2 linked regions of the Arabidopsis thaliana genome follow. The protein of the gene in region 2 interacts with the protein of the main gene of each other region in a pairwise test. Each region holds a gene or a part of one and is shown on either strand. Other genes may lie near its edges. The genes, in order: AT5G42220 and AT4G22235.

Region 1 (10,682 bases), on a different chromosome or scaffold from region 2:
TTCAAACATAATTAGGTAAGAATACTTATCTCTTTATTTTTTCTTTTGACTAACTCAAGAGAATTTTTTTTTGGATTCTTTTCCTTTTCCTCTTTCACCAAAAAGAACCTTTGAATGTATGTTTGTGTTATTATATATATAATCATCGTAAGTGCTAGAATCAGTCGTAAGAAAATTTAAGAGACTATATTAGACATGGCTATCACCAAGAAATGTTTTGCCGCATTTGTACTCATCCTCCTCTTTGTCATGCCTTTCGTTTATTGCTCGGAATTAGATAACACTTCTGGTACTATCTTATTATGAATCAACCACTTTTTTCTTATGAGTTTATATATATATTGATCTCTTGATTATTACTATAATATAGGTTTTGAAATAAAGCAAGAAGATAAATGCTACGGCCCAGAACCGTGTAAAAATGGTTACGAAGGATGCTTGTTCTTTTGTGTAAGAATAGCCTATTACTTATATGGGGAATGTACTATGAAGCCTGATCATCAAAAGCATTGTTGTTGTGTGACAAAATAATCTAATAAAATGTTGATATTTACTAAAAGCAACATAACTAGTTTTCATACGACTTTGAATATTCAAAAGATCGAGAGTGAAATGCACAAAGCATACCATAATTGAAGTTGGTTTGATTTGACACAATCGATGTTTCTCTTTTGCATCTTTTCAAATGAAGGAATTGCAACATTTATTCATTTTTCGCTCAATTTGGATGAAATACAAACGTTGCAATATCTTGGTGAACCATTTGAGATTTATTTTAGAAAATCTCGAACTTGGGTCCTAATAATAATTAAAAATTTAGTCTTTTTCACTCTAGAAAAGTCATAAGTAAGAAAAATTAGCGATGAAACAATTATTTGCAAAACTCATCACAAAAGACAGCTTGTCTTAGGAATGTTCATGATCTCCGATGTCGCTAAGTCATGGCTCGCTGATCTTGAAAATCTCTGAACCCATGATGTTTTAGTTCAATTTTGTCGTCATCCTTAATTTTTCCGGTGGTGATCAATTGTTCACAACCCTTGAATACGTAAAACCATAAAACAAATTTTAATAATCTTTTAGAAATTAAATATAAAATAAAACAATATTATTAATTTGTCATAATCCAAAATTATAAATTTGTACAACAAAACAAACACAACAACTTTGTAATTTTAAACATATTAAAAATTCATAGTAAATTTTATAATATATAATTTTTTATAAAAATTAAATAATATATAACATCTTATTATTGGGGTTGTCGTGACAGTTCATTTTTCTGAATTATTCTACTATTTATTAGTTTACATTCCATATTTATTGTGCAATCTTTATTACCTATTTGTTAAGGAATTAAACTAAATATATAATTTGCTACAGTCACTCGTTAGTGTAGCCCTTTAGCCAAATTTTCGATCAAAACCAAAATTGTCAGTTATAAAGGGACACCTTTTTCCCAAGTAATTTGGTCAATGTCGAGAGTTATGAGTAATCTCTGGTTAAAGATGGAAATATCAAATTGAATCGGCCCTTTAGAGACCAGATAAATTACGTTTGCTTATGTTTAGCAGAGTATAGACCATCCCAAACCCTAATTCTTAATACATAAGTGAGGGATCTCAGCAAATAAACAAAGATACTTCAAAGATATGACACTTACAGAACCAATTCAACCAAATATCTTATAGACCTTGATCATCTTTTAGCCGGCCTTCGATATCACGTCTTAGCAACTCCGCATATTCCTGCAACACTCAAATACAAGTCTGATCAAGGAGTCTTTATTTTTATTAAACAAACAAACTAGTCAGTTTTGATGCTTACTTGAGAAAGAGCTTCATCACAGCAAAGCTCGTTCACTAGTTCGTCTTGGCTTATCGCAGCATTTTCGACCATTGCACGGAAGACATCCTCTGGTGGATCAGAGTGCTCAATCATTTGAGCCATGGATTGAACATTTACCTATTTGGAAAAAGTAGAAAAATAACATTCATTACACGAGATAGAACAAGAGACAATGACGTTTATTGTAATACCTAGGTAAGAATGGTGTTACTTTTTCTACAACTAAAAAAAGACAACAACAAAATCCTACTCAGTCGATAATAGTATCAGTTTTTCTTCAGCCACATTTTTTTCCTAAATCAAAAACGCAAGAAATCCAAACCTAACACTCGTAGATGTACCTGAGAAGGTTGACGATCATCAGGCTGTATTGTTGCGGGATGAGGCAATGGCCCTCCTTGGCTAAAAGCACGTGAGACTAGAGGCATCATTTGTTGGACCATTCTAGAGAAATCAAAGCCGCCGCCCTCGCCTTGAGCTCCACCTGACATCATATTTTCTATCTCTTGCCCATCCACCTGTTGCGCAATCTGTTGGACTGTGTTCATGATCTGTGGATTCTGGGTAAACTGCTGGAGCATATTTCTCAGCATATTTGGTGAATCAACACCAGCTTGTCGAGATACCCCTGCTAGCAATCCATCCAATACAGGGCTCTCCAGGACCTGAGACATTGCACTTGAGACATCTACACGATCATCTGAACCTTGCCCGCGTCTAAGACCAGTCTCATCTGAACGAGAACTACCAGAAAAGAGAGATTGCAAAAGCTGCTGACCACTGGTCCCACTGCTTTGTTGCACACCTTCAAGTGTAGCTGAAGTCCCGCTATCTTCAGTCTTACCTGATACCTTCGGCTGCTTGCTTCGTTTCTTTAACCAAAAAAAACATACTATGACTGTAAGCATTTGGAACTATGACACTTGTGGATATGCTATGCAATGAAAAACAAGCAGCAGCAACTTGACGCTTATTTTTCAACTGATTCATTACCTTACGGTCTAAACCGCCAAGCCCCAATCCAAGTGGTGTAGCTGTAGCTACCTCTGGAGTAGCCTTATTGGTTTCTTTGGCATCACCGGTAGCATCTCCAGACGGAGCTGATGATTGTCCTGTAGTACAAGAGGTATCTTTTGCTCGGGCTGGATGCTCTAAATCTCCACCAAGATCTTTTTCATTTTGACACTGGTTGAAAAAACAAAAATTAGTGGTAGGCTAACCCTGGTGAACATAAAATAAAGAATCATCTGATTGCAGAGAAGACATACCACTGAGTTGCTCCTCTCAGATGGTAAGTCATGCAGTGAGCCACTAGACGACTCAGGTGCGCAAGTAGTTGCAATGTTGGTAGGCTGCTCAGGCATAGCAGTGGCAACACCATGGCCCGTAGACATATCCCTCTCGAGAGATTCTATTCCTGATTGACACGTGAAGAAGAGCTTGAAAACATTTCGTCCACAATGTAAAACTTTAGTCAGCAGGAAACCTACCCGATGGAATCTGGTCTCTTCCTTGCATAATGTTTACCATATCTCTTATCCTTGCATTGATTTGAGCAACTGAAACATCATCACCCAAACCAGGTTGAACCCCAGCAGAAACGTTCTCACCGGTAGAGTGTGATGGAACAGCCGCAGGAACTGAACTTGTATTGCTGTCACGGTCTCCTTGTCCTCCTTCTCCATTGCTTCGCTGGTTCCCAACTGATGACAACATAGGTGAACCTGATGTGCCTGGTAATTAAGTATGAATTTTAATGGAGAAGAATTGTGCAGCTAAGTCCAATAGCAAAAAAGTGAACTTCACCCACCAGCATGTATGTGAATATTAATGTGCCTTTGGGCAGTTCCTAAACCAACAGGTCCGGTTAGTGGATTTGATGAGACAGTAGCACCAGTAAAGAGAGGGCTGATTTGGTGAGGAAAAGGCTGCAAAATACAGTAATAATTACATAAAAGTAGAAAATTAATTTAGAAAAAAGATGAGACTAGAAGCTTACCTGAACCATAATAGGATTCGGTCCTGATGGAGATATATACACAGCAGGCCCTGCATTCACATAGGATAATTCCTGTAGATCAAAGTGTTAATGAGCCGCATGTCAAGAATGAATAGGAAAATGCACGAAAGGAATGACCCAAAACGCACCGGCGACGGTGCCATTCTCAATGTCAAAATTGTGCGTCCAAGCTCCAGTAGGAGGGCCCCTAAATGTTGCATGGCAAGACCTACTTGCACGGCCTCTGTCTGGATTTGTGACCTTAGAGTAGGATCTGAAGATGAACCATCTTGCTCCAGACGTCCCGCAATATGCTACAACAATGTTTTTGCAAATTACAAACAGCACATAATTAGATGACAATGCATGGTAACCATATACATAACAGTTCTTGTAAAGAGAAAGAATGGAATCAATTAATAAGCAGTGTGAAGAAGGTGTTTACCGATAAAGAAGAGACACCGAGACCACTCAGTAAATGTTGTGCATTCCTTAGGACAACAGAGAGTGCTTCAGGTGTTGCTGCACCTCGTCTATTTCTAGGCAACTCTTCCCTTGGTCGCCCTCCGGATCCAGCAGAAGAGGTATCTGGCTGATAGCCTGGAGGAACATCCAATTAACTTATTTATGTGTTCTCTATCCAATATGACAATAAAACTTAGATCACAATACCATTTTGTGATAATGCCTGCTCCATCCGATTAATGAACTCCATTAGAGTGTCTAAGGAATCCGGAATAGGCTGCAGAATTAGAGAGTTACATTGTAAAATGACAAGATTAAAGCTCTAGTCTCAAGATCAAAATACTACTACGTGACTAAGAACTACCGTTAAGAATGAAGGGATAGGAATCGTTGTGGCTGCTGTAACAGGAATCTGAACTACACGAGGCATCGATGTTTGAAATGATACACCAGGAAATGCTTGCCTAGGTTGTGAATGACCCGTAGCTTGGCTTTGACCACCAATGCCAGGCTCTCCATCAGATGTATTTCCAGGAGGTGCATTAGACGACTGATTCGACTAGGAAAAATAAAAGCGCATGCAACATCGAGTTTAGAAACAGGCAATAGTTGATGACAATATGAAACCTTACACATCAAATAGTAACAACACCTGATTCTCAACAATCCTTAATGTAGACTAAGCACTAATATGGAATAAATTCGAAATAGAGAGTGACGAGAAAAAAACTCACGGGCATAGAGGATTGCGTGCCATTAGTACTGTGATTTGTAGGAAGCTGTCCACTAACTCCAAAAGAATTTAGAACTGCTCCAATGACCTTAGTAGTTAGCAACACAAAATTAAAAGCAGGTTAGCCTAACTAATCAAACCATCCCATAGGCCAAACAATATCACAAATCCTTGGGGATTACCCGGCTGAGGTCTGGAACAATGCCTTCTGTCTGATCTCCAACATTAAAAGACCCAAGAACTACGCTGTGGGAGACATGTCTTCCATTTCGAGATGGTCCACCATTTGTATTATTTCCTGTTGAATTAAATAACAAGTTGAAATAAGATGATGGTTGTGTTAACAGCTCTTTTAAAACTCAGAAAGGGGATAAAAAATAACTTGATTACCATCATTTGCAGTTGCCCCTTGTGAAGGTGTACCAGAGGAAGGAGCTGATTCTGCTGGCTGCCTCACAATCAAGTGTAAAGTATGCCCATTTTCCAAATCTATGACGATGTCAAGTTATCAACTATACTGAAAGTAGAAAAGCGATGGAAGGAAACGACAGACATAAACTAAAACTAAGCTTATCGAAGGTATATATATATATATAGTTCTCTTTCTGGATTACAGCTTCCTCTACGGTGTAAGACTCACAAAAGCAGAGATGCACTTGATCAATCAAAAACTAGACTTCCGACAGATTTGGTTAACATGCATTTTATACACAGGGCACATGGCATAATGCAACAAACAGCTACACTATAACATAAAATCAACAAGTTAACAAAGTCGCTAGCACTAGGATACGATACTCCGAGAGAGGATGATCATCTTTCAAAACCCGTCCTCGGAAAATGAGCCGCTGCTGACCAACCGGCACCCCTGTCTCACTAGCAATCTTCTCCTTGAATAGCAAAACAGTTTCCTGCAACAAGTCAAGCCCTAAGCAGTATCAGATATAAGCAAACTAAACTTAAGCAAATATGCAGGTGAAGCAGAAGAAGAAGAAGATTTCTTACATTCTTGTTCACTTGGAAAGTATACGTCCGCGAGTCTAACGTTTTGATGTTAAGCTCAAGGGTTGATTCTGGAGTTTTCTCCGACGCATTGGTGCTACTAGAGCACTGGTTAATGGGTTGATCTTCCATGAACCCTAAAGTATTAAAATTTAAAAAACATAAAGCTTGTAAATTCATCTTACAAAAGAATGATCTCATAATAAACAATATTATCTCTAGGGTACTCAAATCAAAACCTTTACCACACACATTTCCAGATATTGATCATACAAAACAGAATCAACAATGAGACACAAACAAATGACATAACTAAATGCTAGTCATTGTAACAAAAGACCAAATCCTATATATATGCAAGTCATTGTAATAAAAATGCTAAAAATCAAAAACTTTCACCATCCAAAGCCACAAACAAAAGACCCAGACCCAAATAAATGCAAGTCATTGTAATATCACTGTTCAAAAATCAAAACTTTCACCGTCCAAACCCAAAAACAAATCTGCTAAGGCAAAAACAGAGCCTATAGATACGGAAAAAAAGGATCAAGATTTAAGAAAAAAACAATCAAATTCCATGAAGGCAACGAAGAACGAACCTATTTGCCGTCGTGGGGTATTGAAAAATTGAAACTTTGGCGGAACAAAAGACTCTCCGATTGAAATCTAGAGAAGTATCTCAAAGTTGAAACACGAAACCAAACCTGATGTGTTCAGAGTTAAAGGGGAAGAACAAGGGCGATTGTGTCGGGAACTCGGGATTTTGGTGAAATTGAAAAGAAAAAGAAGAATCTAGAGGAGGAAGATACAACGACGACGTTTTGAAAACCTGAATTGACGCTTCCGCGAATATAGGCCTAGTCTCCGCTCTAAATGTGGACTCTTCTATTAATAATATAAAGCTGGGCCTGGCCTTTTTAACCATATCTAAAATAAATTTTAAACATGTGCTTCTTTTTCTGTTTTATTATGTAATTTTGATTTCTAATATTTAAGTATTTAAGTTTACACATAACTGGATTAATCATGAAGATTATGGTTTACATATAACTGAAACGAATCTATGTTATTGTTGTCGTTAATAATGGTTATTATTTTATTATTTTTTGTCATCAAATTATATTAATGTTCAAATGAGTCAACTTTAGAAAAAATTGTTTACATATATGAAGCGATTCAGTACGAATTTTTCGTGCCAAAGTATTCGTTCTAACATTTGCAGTATAAGAGATTAGAGATAGAAACAAGCTTGAGATTTTTTTATTGTCACTCAGGCAAATCTTTCAAAATTGTAGAATACACCGGCCATTAGGTTAGGGAAAACACTATATTCATTAGGTTTGAACAGTCTGTGAAAAACACTACATGTTGGTTATGTGTCGAAAGATCATTTAAAGTTTAGTCTGACAATTTTGCGGCAGTGTATATGCAAACAACAACAAAAGTAGAACAATCAAAGCATATAGACATAGAGTGTCATATTGTGTGAGAAAGGATTCAAGATGATGTGGTTTCAGTTAAGCATATAGGTAGAAATTTCATGAAAGCGGATCCGTTAACTAAAGGTATTCCACCTAAAGTTTAGTCCACATTATTAGTTAAAATACAAAAACAACTAGATTTTAACCTGTGGTATACCGCGGGAACAATTTATTTTTTAAAGTTAGTATATATAAAAGTTTACAAATTGTATCTATCTATAAAATAATTTTATTTTATAGTTTACAAATGTTATTAAGTATCGTCCTGTCAAACCCGTCCTGTAAAAAAAAAACTATTTATTTTATTAATGTTGATCTTATTTATGATATGTTTATGAATCATTGTCTAAATATTTTGTAATTTTGTAGTAATTAAATGCTATCAGATTATATCTCTGCGCTTTGATGATTATAATCGAATTGTTATAGTTATGGAGAAAATCAATATCAAAAATGATAATTTTGTAGTAATTAAATGATATTAAATATTTTGGAAGTATTATTTTAGTAAATAATCGTGTAGTTAATGTGGAGATATTTTGGGAAGATTGTTAAATGTCAAATATTTAATTCGAATATTTTCTTTTTAATTATCAAAAACAAACATTAAAATCCAGTGGCAGCCATTGTAAATAAGTCACAACTAAAGGATTTATTTCACAAAATGGCTGCAAAAATGTATATATAGATTATAATAAAACATGTTTCAATTATGTCTATATATACAAAAATAATTATGATGTATATAAATAAATTTAATGATACAAATATTGGAGCTATTTTGTTGCTTTAGACAACTAAACTAACTTTGAACTCAAAAAAAGAAAGAAGATATCTAAATTAACTGAAACGGCCATTAAATATGGTGTTTCCCCTAGGAGTTATTGACTAACCTATACAAGCTATTGGTGTCTTGCTGACTTTAGATATCATAAACCCGTACACAATATGGGTTAAAAAAAAACATCAAGGATTCGACCAATGCAATTAAAACCTGTATATTATCTTTCACTACGAAATCCATATGGTTTTGAGGAAACTGTGTTATGGAGATCCCATAACTGATATTGGTGTTGCTGCTCTGATCATCAGGCTTTGGATGAAAGCTATAGTCTACAAAGAAAAACAAAGTAACGGACATTATATATATTATTTTTCTTAGTAATCGAACAACTCATATAACTTTGAGGAATCAATTAAAAGGTTTATATGTTTCACATACATTGTCATATAACTAAATGTTAAACCAAAAAAAAAAGAACTGAATGAGTTAGTGATTTTTCATGGGAAATTAGATAAGATTTAAAGTTTCCTTTTTGCACAACCAACAACAGCATTCGTTGTGAATTAGATAAGAGTATGAAAACTAAGAAAGTAAAAACTAATTAAAAGGATAACGTTCCTTTCTTGGTTTAACCGGACATTTATTTGTATAGTTTCATGGAGGCTAACTTGAGTGAATTTCAGTAGAAAATGCAAAAACATAAAGTATATTACCATGGCAAATCCCGCACACATTATACTGAACCCTGGGAAATTAAATGGGGCTCTTTCAGACAGAAACCAATCTAAGAAAAATAAAAATACTAGTGTTAGTAGCAAGTTATTTGCATTTCTATCTACAGAAGTTTTTGAAATAGCATTATTAAACAATGCTTATGTAAATAGTGATGAAACCTGTTAGAGGTGAAAATGCTAGCGGGGAAATGACATTTGCAAGGGAACATATGCTTGAAATAATTCCTTGGGCTTTCCCCTGAAAATATTACCGAGAGTTAGAGTTTGCATTGACCGATTAACCAAATTGATAAAAGTCAAAACCAGTCTCGCACAAATTAAATAATAACGTTCGATTTCATGTAAAAATAACATTATTTCTCATGTAAGCCACTAATCCTACTCCTTTTTTCTTTCTTTGAAATAATTTATTCTTCTGTCCATTTTATACAAGAAGTATTTATGGTATAATAAAATGAATGGAATTTGTTATAAGTCAAGACTTAGTTACCTGTTCATATGATGCTACTTGTTTGGAGACAATGCTTCGCATCTGTAAATTAAATTTGAATTGTTGAATTACAATACATTTCAATATATAATTAAAGTATAAACTCGAATAAAAAATATCTAATATGTGTTGACAAAAAAAAAAAAAAATCTATATATATAATATGTAAACTTACACACGATGAAGGAAATATTGAGAAAAGTGCAAATATGGCTGCCATATATGGAACCTGTGAGTTTTAAATTATCTTTAGCCAATAATCGATCTCACAAATCTTCACTAAAGAGGCAATTCTTATTAACGCCAAAAGATATTGCAAAGAAAATGAACTATCCAACATGAAAAAAAAAAAGAAAAAAGGAAATGAAGAAAAATTTCTTAAAAGGATATAATTAATACCCATGAGGACCATGCCACACATAGTAGGAACATCTGCAAAATTAAGATTGCAACATATAAGAAAATGTTCATGTGTAGTCAAATTTAAGGGCTCATTATTAAGCTCGTTCACCTAAAACTATATTGGAGGATGTTGTCTTTATGGTGCAAGAAAAGAACCATACGAAATACAAAGTTTAGAGAACAACATAATAAGTACGAGACAAACTAAAAGACGGTTCTTACATGGGCACAACCAAAGAAAAGACCAATTGAGAGCAGTCTCTCCTCTTTTAAAGCAGGAACTAGAACGGGCATAAAGAGCAACTGTGAAATAACATTTCTTTGTAAGTTAAACAATGTGAAAAAGACCAATCTTTCAAAAGTCTGCATCTTAATTATTACCTGTGAAATAGATCCAGATGCGCCAACTATGATCATCAAGTCTGCAAACTGGTCTTTGTTAAAGTGAAACTTGGCCTTTAAATAGTACTGAGTGAACCAATTGACAACAAAAAAAAACTCATTTATTTTTAGTAAGAAAATTGAGAAATGCAAAATCTAATAGATTATTATTTTTACTAATTATAGTTTTTTTTTTTGGTATGCTTTTACGTCATACACTAATATCTTCAAATTGTTGTCCCTTACTAGCATGTTTCATTGTTTTGTATAGATTTATTTATATATGTTGTAAAACAAATTAAATATTAGTTATTTAATAGCGGTATCACATAGTTATAAGCTTACCATAGATGAAGCATGTAG
Region 2 (5,593 bases):
GTATGGGATACTTGTTAGTATAGTACTCGAGGTTTCTAGCATATGCCATAGAGTTTCTCAATATCTGAAGCCCTATTTTGAATGTGTTTGTTCTTTCTGTAATTTATTTAGAGACCATCAGGTAAAGGAAAAACTCAATTCAGACAAGAACATAAGAAACCTAAATTGACCAAATTTCTCATATAACTGAAAGTTTGAAACTGTGTTTTGTTATGTACAGTTTGGTGGAGGGTTTGATGCGGAGAGCATGAATCAGAGCCAAAACTGAAAGTGGAGGAGACAATAATAATGATAACAATGAAGAATAATCTGTAAACTGAGTTTTATTACTTTCTTTTTCTTCTATGTCTCTCTTTATCATTGTAGCACATATTTGCTATATAGGATTTGAATGGTTGCAACGGTTAAGGCGGACAAATTCGTTTGCGGTTTGAACTGTTTTTTATTTATCATTCATATTTGTATAGGTGCGAATTTAAAAAAGAAAAAAAAAACCACTGCAGATTAACTACGGACTGTTTTTACATACAAATATAATTAGTTCGTAACGGTTTATTGCCCATTTTAAAAATAGAGCGGACTAAATCGCTGACGTATTTGTCCGCTCTAACTACCGTTAGTAATAATATAGTTTGTTGTCAAAAATACATTCTTTTGTTTAGGTTTGCAGATGATTTTTTTTATTTTCTATTACTATATTTTAGTCTTTTAGATGATAAATTCGCAATAAATTTGTAATCTGCCAAACTACTGAAAAAAGAGAAAATAATTGTGGTTTGTCTTAAAAGTCACTTGTTTTAAGACATATCATGTGCAGCCATGCAAAGTGTATCTCCCGAATCTTCTTCACTCATTAATGTTTTACAGTATTTTTATAAATTTTATCATGTTAAGTACAAAATAAAAATAAGAATGGTCCATTAGAATTACAGCATATAACAACAAGGACTAGTTCTCTTTTGTAATTTTGTAATTTTATGCAAACGTATAAAAGAAAAATAATCGTGTTTTATTTTTGGAAAGGAATTAAGTATTTCTGCCACCACCTAACAAACAGGGTCCATTTCTTGGGTCTAAAACTTTTCACGGTCAAACAAGATATACATTGATTACTATTATTGTATTCGTATTATCTAAAACACTATCATAATAATAGTAACTTTCATCATCCGACCTTCTTCGTATAATAATTTAAATAAATTTATGGATCTAAGACTAAGATGACAACCACTAAAAAAAGCAACTATAGTCCATATATATCAGACTACTTTTGGCATTTTATCAGTATATGACACCTAAAAATTACAAAAATTATAACGAACACAAACGTAACACAATACATGTCTACATCATTACGTATTTGTGTTTGAATTTTTTTTTATAAAAAAAAAACTGAAAAAGTTTAAAGTGAAGGAACAAAGAAACAAAACAACGACACAATTTAGACAGCTAGTTTTATTGCAAAAGCCAAAGCTTTATTTTGATACCCCCAAAGTAGAAGGCAAACACTCAAACATGGATGTGAGATGAAATCATAAACATGCAAATAGCAAAACACACAGACACACAAATTAAGTGACGTCGTTTTCTATCATCTGCAATCACATGCTTTCCTTTTCAGCACCGCTCTTTGCAGCATCATAATCACGGCAGCACCAACATATCCCTTGACCACCACCAACATTTAAGCATTCGCCTCCATGATACTTGCTGTCCACTGCCCTGCATGGTACATCGCAAGTAGAGATCGTGTCCGCGAGTCTACATAAACCCTTTCGTAAGTCACACTTTCCCCATCCATTCACTTCTGTATGATCCATACAAAGAGACAATATTTCATAAACATGTATTTATTTTAGATCTTTGGATCAAAATATTTTGGTCTTTTTTACGTACCTATAGGAGATATGAGGAGGATGGAGAGACAAACGACTATTGCAAATGTGCTCAGCTTTAAGCTCCCCATTACTTGCTGATCTCTTAGTTCTTCTTAGCTTCTTTCTTTTTTAGCAATAGTTAGTTGGGAGAGAGCTTAACCAAACATGCAATTTTATTGTATTCTATATGTAAACTCGCACGCTAGCAACTGCGACCCGTAATATACGGTTAGCGACTTCGATCAGATTTTACTATATATTGTTCGTTTTACTATTGCTGTAACTGGTCGTCGTTTAGGTTGTTCGTTTTACTGTCGTGTGACTAGCTGTTACGACTTCATTGACATATGTTTTCTTAAATCAAATTCTTAAAATTTATATATAGTTGTAAATTGTATAACTAATTTCACTCCGATCCGGTTCCCGAGAAGATTTTCAAATCTCAGATCTGGATGCATGGAGGAGATATTTTAAAAATAGTTGGATTATTATACTTCTTTGTAAGTCGTTCCATTCACTATTTCCTTTTAGATGCGATCAGATATTTATTATACCAACTCGAATTGTATATTACTATATTATGACAGCTAAAAAAACGTTAAACACGTATTTTGTTTAGTCAACTTTTAGATAGTAATCAACAATGCCAAAAAAAGTGGTAAATGCTAAATAAAATCAATTAGCTAAATAGAAAAACTATAGTTAATAAACTAGCTAACTACATCTACATATTGTTCTAAATTGGTGAATAAGTGTCTATACCGACGGACAAGTGTGTTTTCTCAACACATCTATTAAACTTTGTTAGGAACAAGTATTTATCAGTTTCTCCCTTAATTCAATTCTTATTTGTATAAATCATAAGACGGATAATTTAACATTTGCAAGAATTAATGTACTCGTATAAAATTCTTTTTGTTGATTTTTTCCCCTCCGATTTAGATTTCAATTAGACAAAAATAAAAAAAATAAAAAAATATGATGAATAGGTCAGGTCATAATCGGAAAACAATCCAACTTTATTTAAGACTTGACAATTCAAAACAAACAGATCTGTAGAAGGCAAACACTCAAATATAGATTTTGAGCTGAAATCATTAACATGCAAATCGCAAAACACAGACACAAAGTGACGTCGTTTTGTATCATTTGCAAATCACATGCTTTCCTTTTCAGCACCACGCTGTACATCACGGCAGCAAACACATAACCCCATACCAGTAATACCACCAACAGGTATGCATCGGCCTCCAATAAACTTGCTGTCCAATTGCTTGCATGGTTCAATACAAGTAGAGCTCTTCTCATAACTATTACATTCACCTTTATCGTAGTCACACACTTGCCTCCCATCTACTTCTGTCCAATCAATAGGAAGATACTACATTTTATAAACATGTTTTATTTTAGATCTTGGGATCAAAGACTTTGGTTTTTTTTACGTACCTGTAGGAGATATGAGGAGAATGGAGAGACAAACGACTACTGCAATAGCGACTGTGCTCAACCTTAAGCTCCCCATTAATTGCTTATTAGTTCTTAGCTTCTTTCTTTCTATTTTGTTTCCCTCTCTCTCTTTGTGATTGATTCATTTAGGCAAAAGGCGAGTTTTTAATTTATAGCTAGCACTGGACAAGTCGTTGGGATTAAAATGACGTAAGATATATGATTTTAAGACAAATCATTTTAAATAGTTAACTGAATACACCCCCGACTCTTATTGTAGATGATCAATACTATTGTATTGTGTAGATAAAGATAGATATTTAGAATCTTTCGTTTGATTTCTTCATTAAATTAGTCAACTTTTAGATACTAATCAACAATGCCAAAGAAAGTGGTAGATGCTAAATCAACGGAGACCAAGCGCTCATCATCATCATTGATTCATTTTTCCTTCAATCATATTTGTTTGTTTGTTTTTGCTTTTTATTAGTATATCTGAAACCTTTGTCCAAAAAAAAATATTATATCTGAAACCAATTGCATGCATAATGAAACTTAAATTTTTGTTTGTTTCTCGGTACCACATGTTTCACGGTATAGATGCATAATGAACTCGTGTCTTAAAATAACTTTATATTTACGAATCTATATGTACTACTTTAAAAAATACATATTAATATATTTTAAAATCCATATTTCTCAATCCTCAACTTAATTTGCTATCTAACTCGCTTCACGAGAAGCTTTCCAAATCTCAGATCTATTACTTGATCTTGCTTCCAATCCGTTCCGGTGGTGCCGTCTAAAAATAACAGACAAATATATTTGTTAATGTTGCAAAACGACTTTTCAAATGATCAAGATCAACCATTAACCAAATATATGTTTACCATAGGACAATGCACAGTCGTAGATGGCTCCTCACAACTTATCTAGACGAAGACATTCGCCTATAATGTTGTTATAGCCTATAACTTATAGGTTTAATTGTTATGATTAACTATACGTTAATGAATTAAGGTTAATTTTAAATAGACTGTTTCATCACTTGAAATTTGAGAACTTTCTATACACATACTAAATCATCATGACTATTGTTTGCGTAAAAGAAGTATGTTCCGATTCAATTGTAAACTTGAAAAGTACGATTTATGAGCGATAGGTCTTATAAACTATAACATTTGAAGGATATCAAAAATATAATTGAAAAGAAAAAGTCAACTTATCAAAATCTCAATCTAAAGTTTAGGTTAGCGTCTCAAGTTAGCTAATACTAAAAGAAAAAATCAAAGGAAAAAAAGAAAAGAAAAAAGAAATAGCAAATATCTCAGAACCATCTAAACCGTCCACGTGTCCCCTCGCTTATCTCTCTGTCTGAAACCAAACCGACTTCTTCTCACAACCCTTAAAGGAAAAGTCCGATCTCATTTCTCATTACCAAAATCAGCGGAGCAAAAGTTACTTCCGAAACCCTAAAAAAAACACGATGATGCTCAAGCAAGCTGCGAAGAAGGCCCTAGGGCTTACGTCACGTCAATCAACACCGTGGTCTGTTGGTATCCTCCGAACCTACCATGAGAACGTCATCGACCACTACGATAATCCCCGCAACGTTGGGTCTTTCGATAAGAATGATCCCAACGTTGGTACGGGACTCGTAGGAGCTCCCGCTTGTGGTGATGTGATGAAGCTTCAAATCAAGGTCGATGAGAAGACTGGTCAAATCGTTGATGCTCGCTTTAAGACTTTTGGTTGTGGTTCAGCCATCGCTTCTTCATCTGTTGGTATGTTTATATTCTAATTTCGTGTTTTGTTCGATTGAGGATTGAATTAGAGAAATTAAATGATTTCAATTAGGGATTTTGATTAGTCTTTCTCAAATGGAGAAATTAGGTTTTAAATTGATGGGTTCGTGTAGAGATTCGGTGTTCAAATTTGGGATTGGTGTCGTTAATGACAAATTAGTGCATGATTTGGTCAGTTGAGACGTTTTTATTGGTGATTCAATGCTGAATTTGTAATACTCCTAGTCTCCTAATGTTATTGAGAAAGATTTCATCTTTTTGATGCGATGTCGTCAGTTTCTGGCTTAGCTTCTATGTGGGAGCTATCTTCTCTCTGGGGATTTGTTGCTGTTATCTAATGTATGATTCATTTTTACGTTTTTTTCAGCCACTGAATGGGTGAAAGGCAAAGCTATGGAGGATGTTCTGACCATCAAAAACACGTAAGTACCGTCTGTTTCTATTCATTTTATGCAGATATTAACA

The links.
Region 1: the proteins of AT4G22235 (region 2) and AT5G42220 interact in a two-hybrid assay, tested with the Arabidopsis thaliana proteins (one large-scale study listed by BioGRID).

What each region holds. Positions count from the first base shown.
Region 1 is NC_003076.8:16,868,459-16,879,140, reverse strand, and holds AT5G42220 (Ubiquitin-like superfamily protein), read right to left. Parts: upstream 6,904-10,682; 5' UTR 6,647-6,903; intron 6,185-6,646; 5' UTR 6,180-6,184; coding exon 6,051-6,179; intron 5,957-6,050; coding exon 5,839-5,956; intron 5,535-5,838; coding exon 5,436-5,534; intron 5,344-5,435; coding exon 5,228-5,343; intron 5,134-5,227; coding exon 5,047-5,133; intron 4,872-5,046; coding exon 4,677-4,871; intron 4,590-4,676; coding exon 4,520-4,589; intron 4,448-4,519; coding exon 4,293-4,447; intron 4,162-4,292; coding exon 3,997-4,161; intron 3,920-3,996; coding exon 3,848-3,919; intron 3,777-3,847; coding exon 3,659-3,776; intron 3,582-3,658; coding exon 3,339-3,581; intron 3,266-3,338; coding exon 3,117-3,265; intron 3,034-3,116; coding exon 2,842-3,033; intron 2,721-2,841; coding exon 2,190-2,720; intron 1,966-2,189; coding exon 1,828-1,965; intron 1,749-1,827; coding exon 1,686-1,748; 3' UTR 1,664-1,685; exon of another isoform or gene 1,409-1,663; intron 1,040-1,408; and 2 more. Other genes in the region: AT5G42223 (Defensin-like (DEFL) family protein), read left to right, coding at 196-289, 371-531; AT5G42210 (Major facilitator superfamily protein), read right to left, coding at 8,573-8,641, 9,026-9,096, 9,206-9,284, 9,537-9,578, 9,712-9,765, 9,936-9,968, 10,161-10,241, 10,320-10,406 and 1 more.
Region 2 is NC_003075.7:11,760,098-11,765,690, reverse strand, and holds AT4G22235 (defensin-like protein), read right to left. Parts: upstream 2,067-5,593; 5' UTR 1,967-2,066; coding exon 1,897-1,966; exon of another isoform or gene 1,808-1,896; coding exon 1,602-1,807; 3' UTR 1,363-1,601; downstream 1-1,362. Other genes in the region: AT4G22230 (defensin-like protein), read right to left, coding at 3,034-3,236, 3,324-3,399; ISU1 (SufE/NifU family protein), read left to right, coding at 4,810-5,107, 5,496-5,550.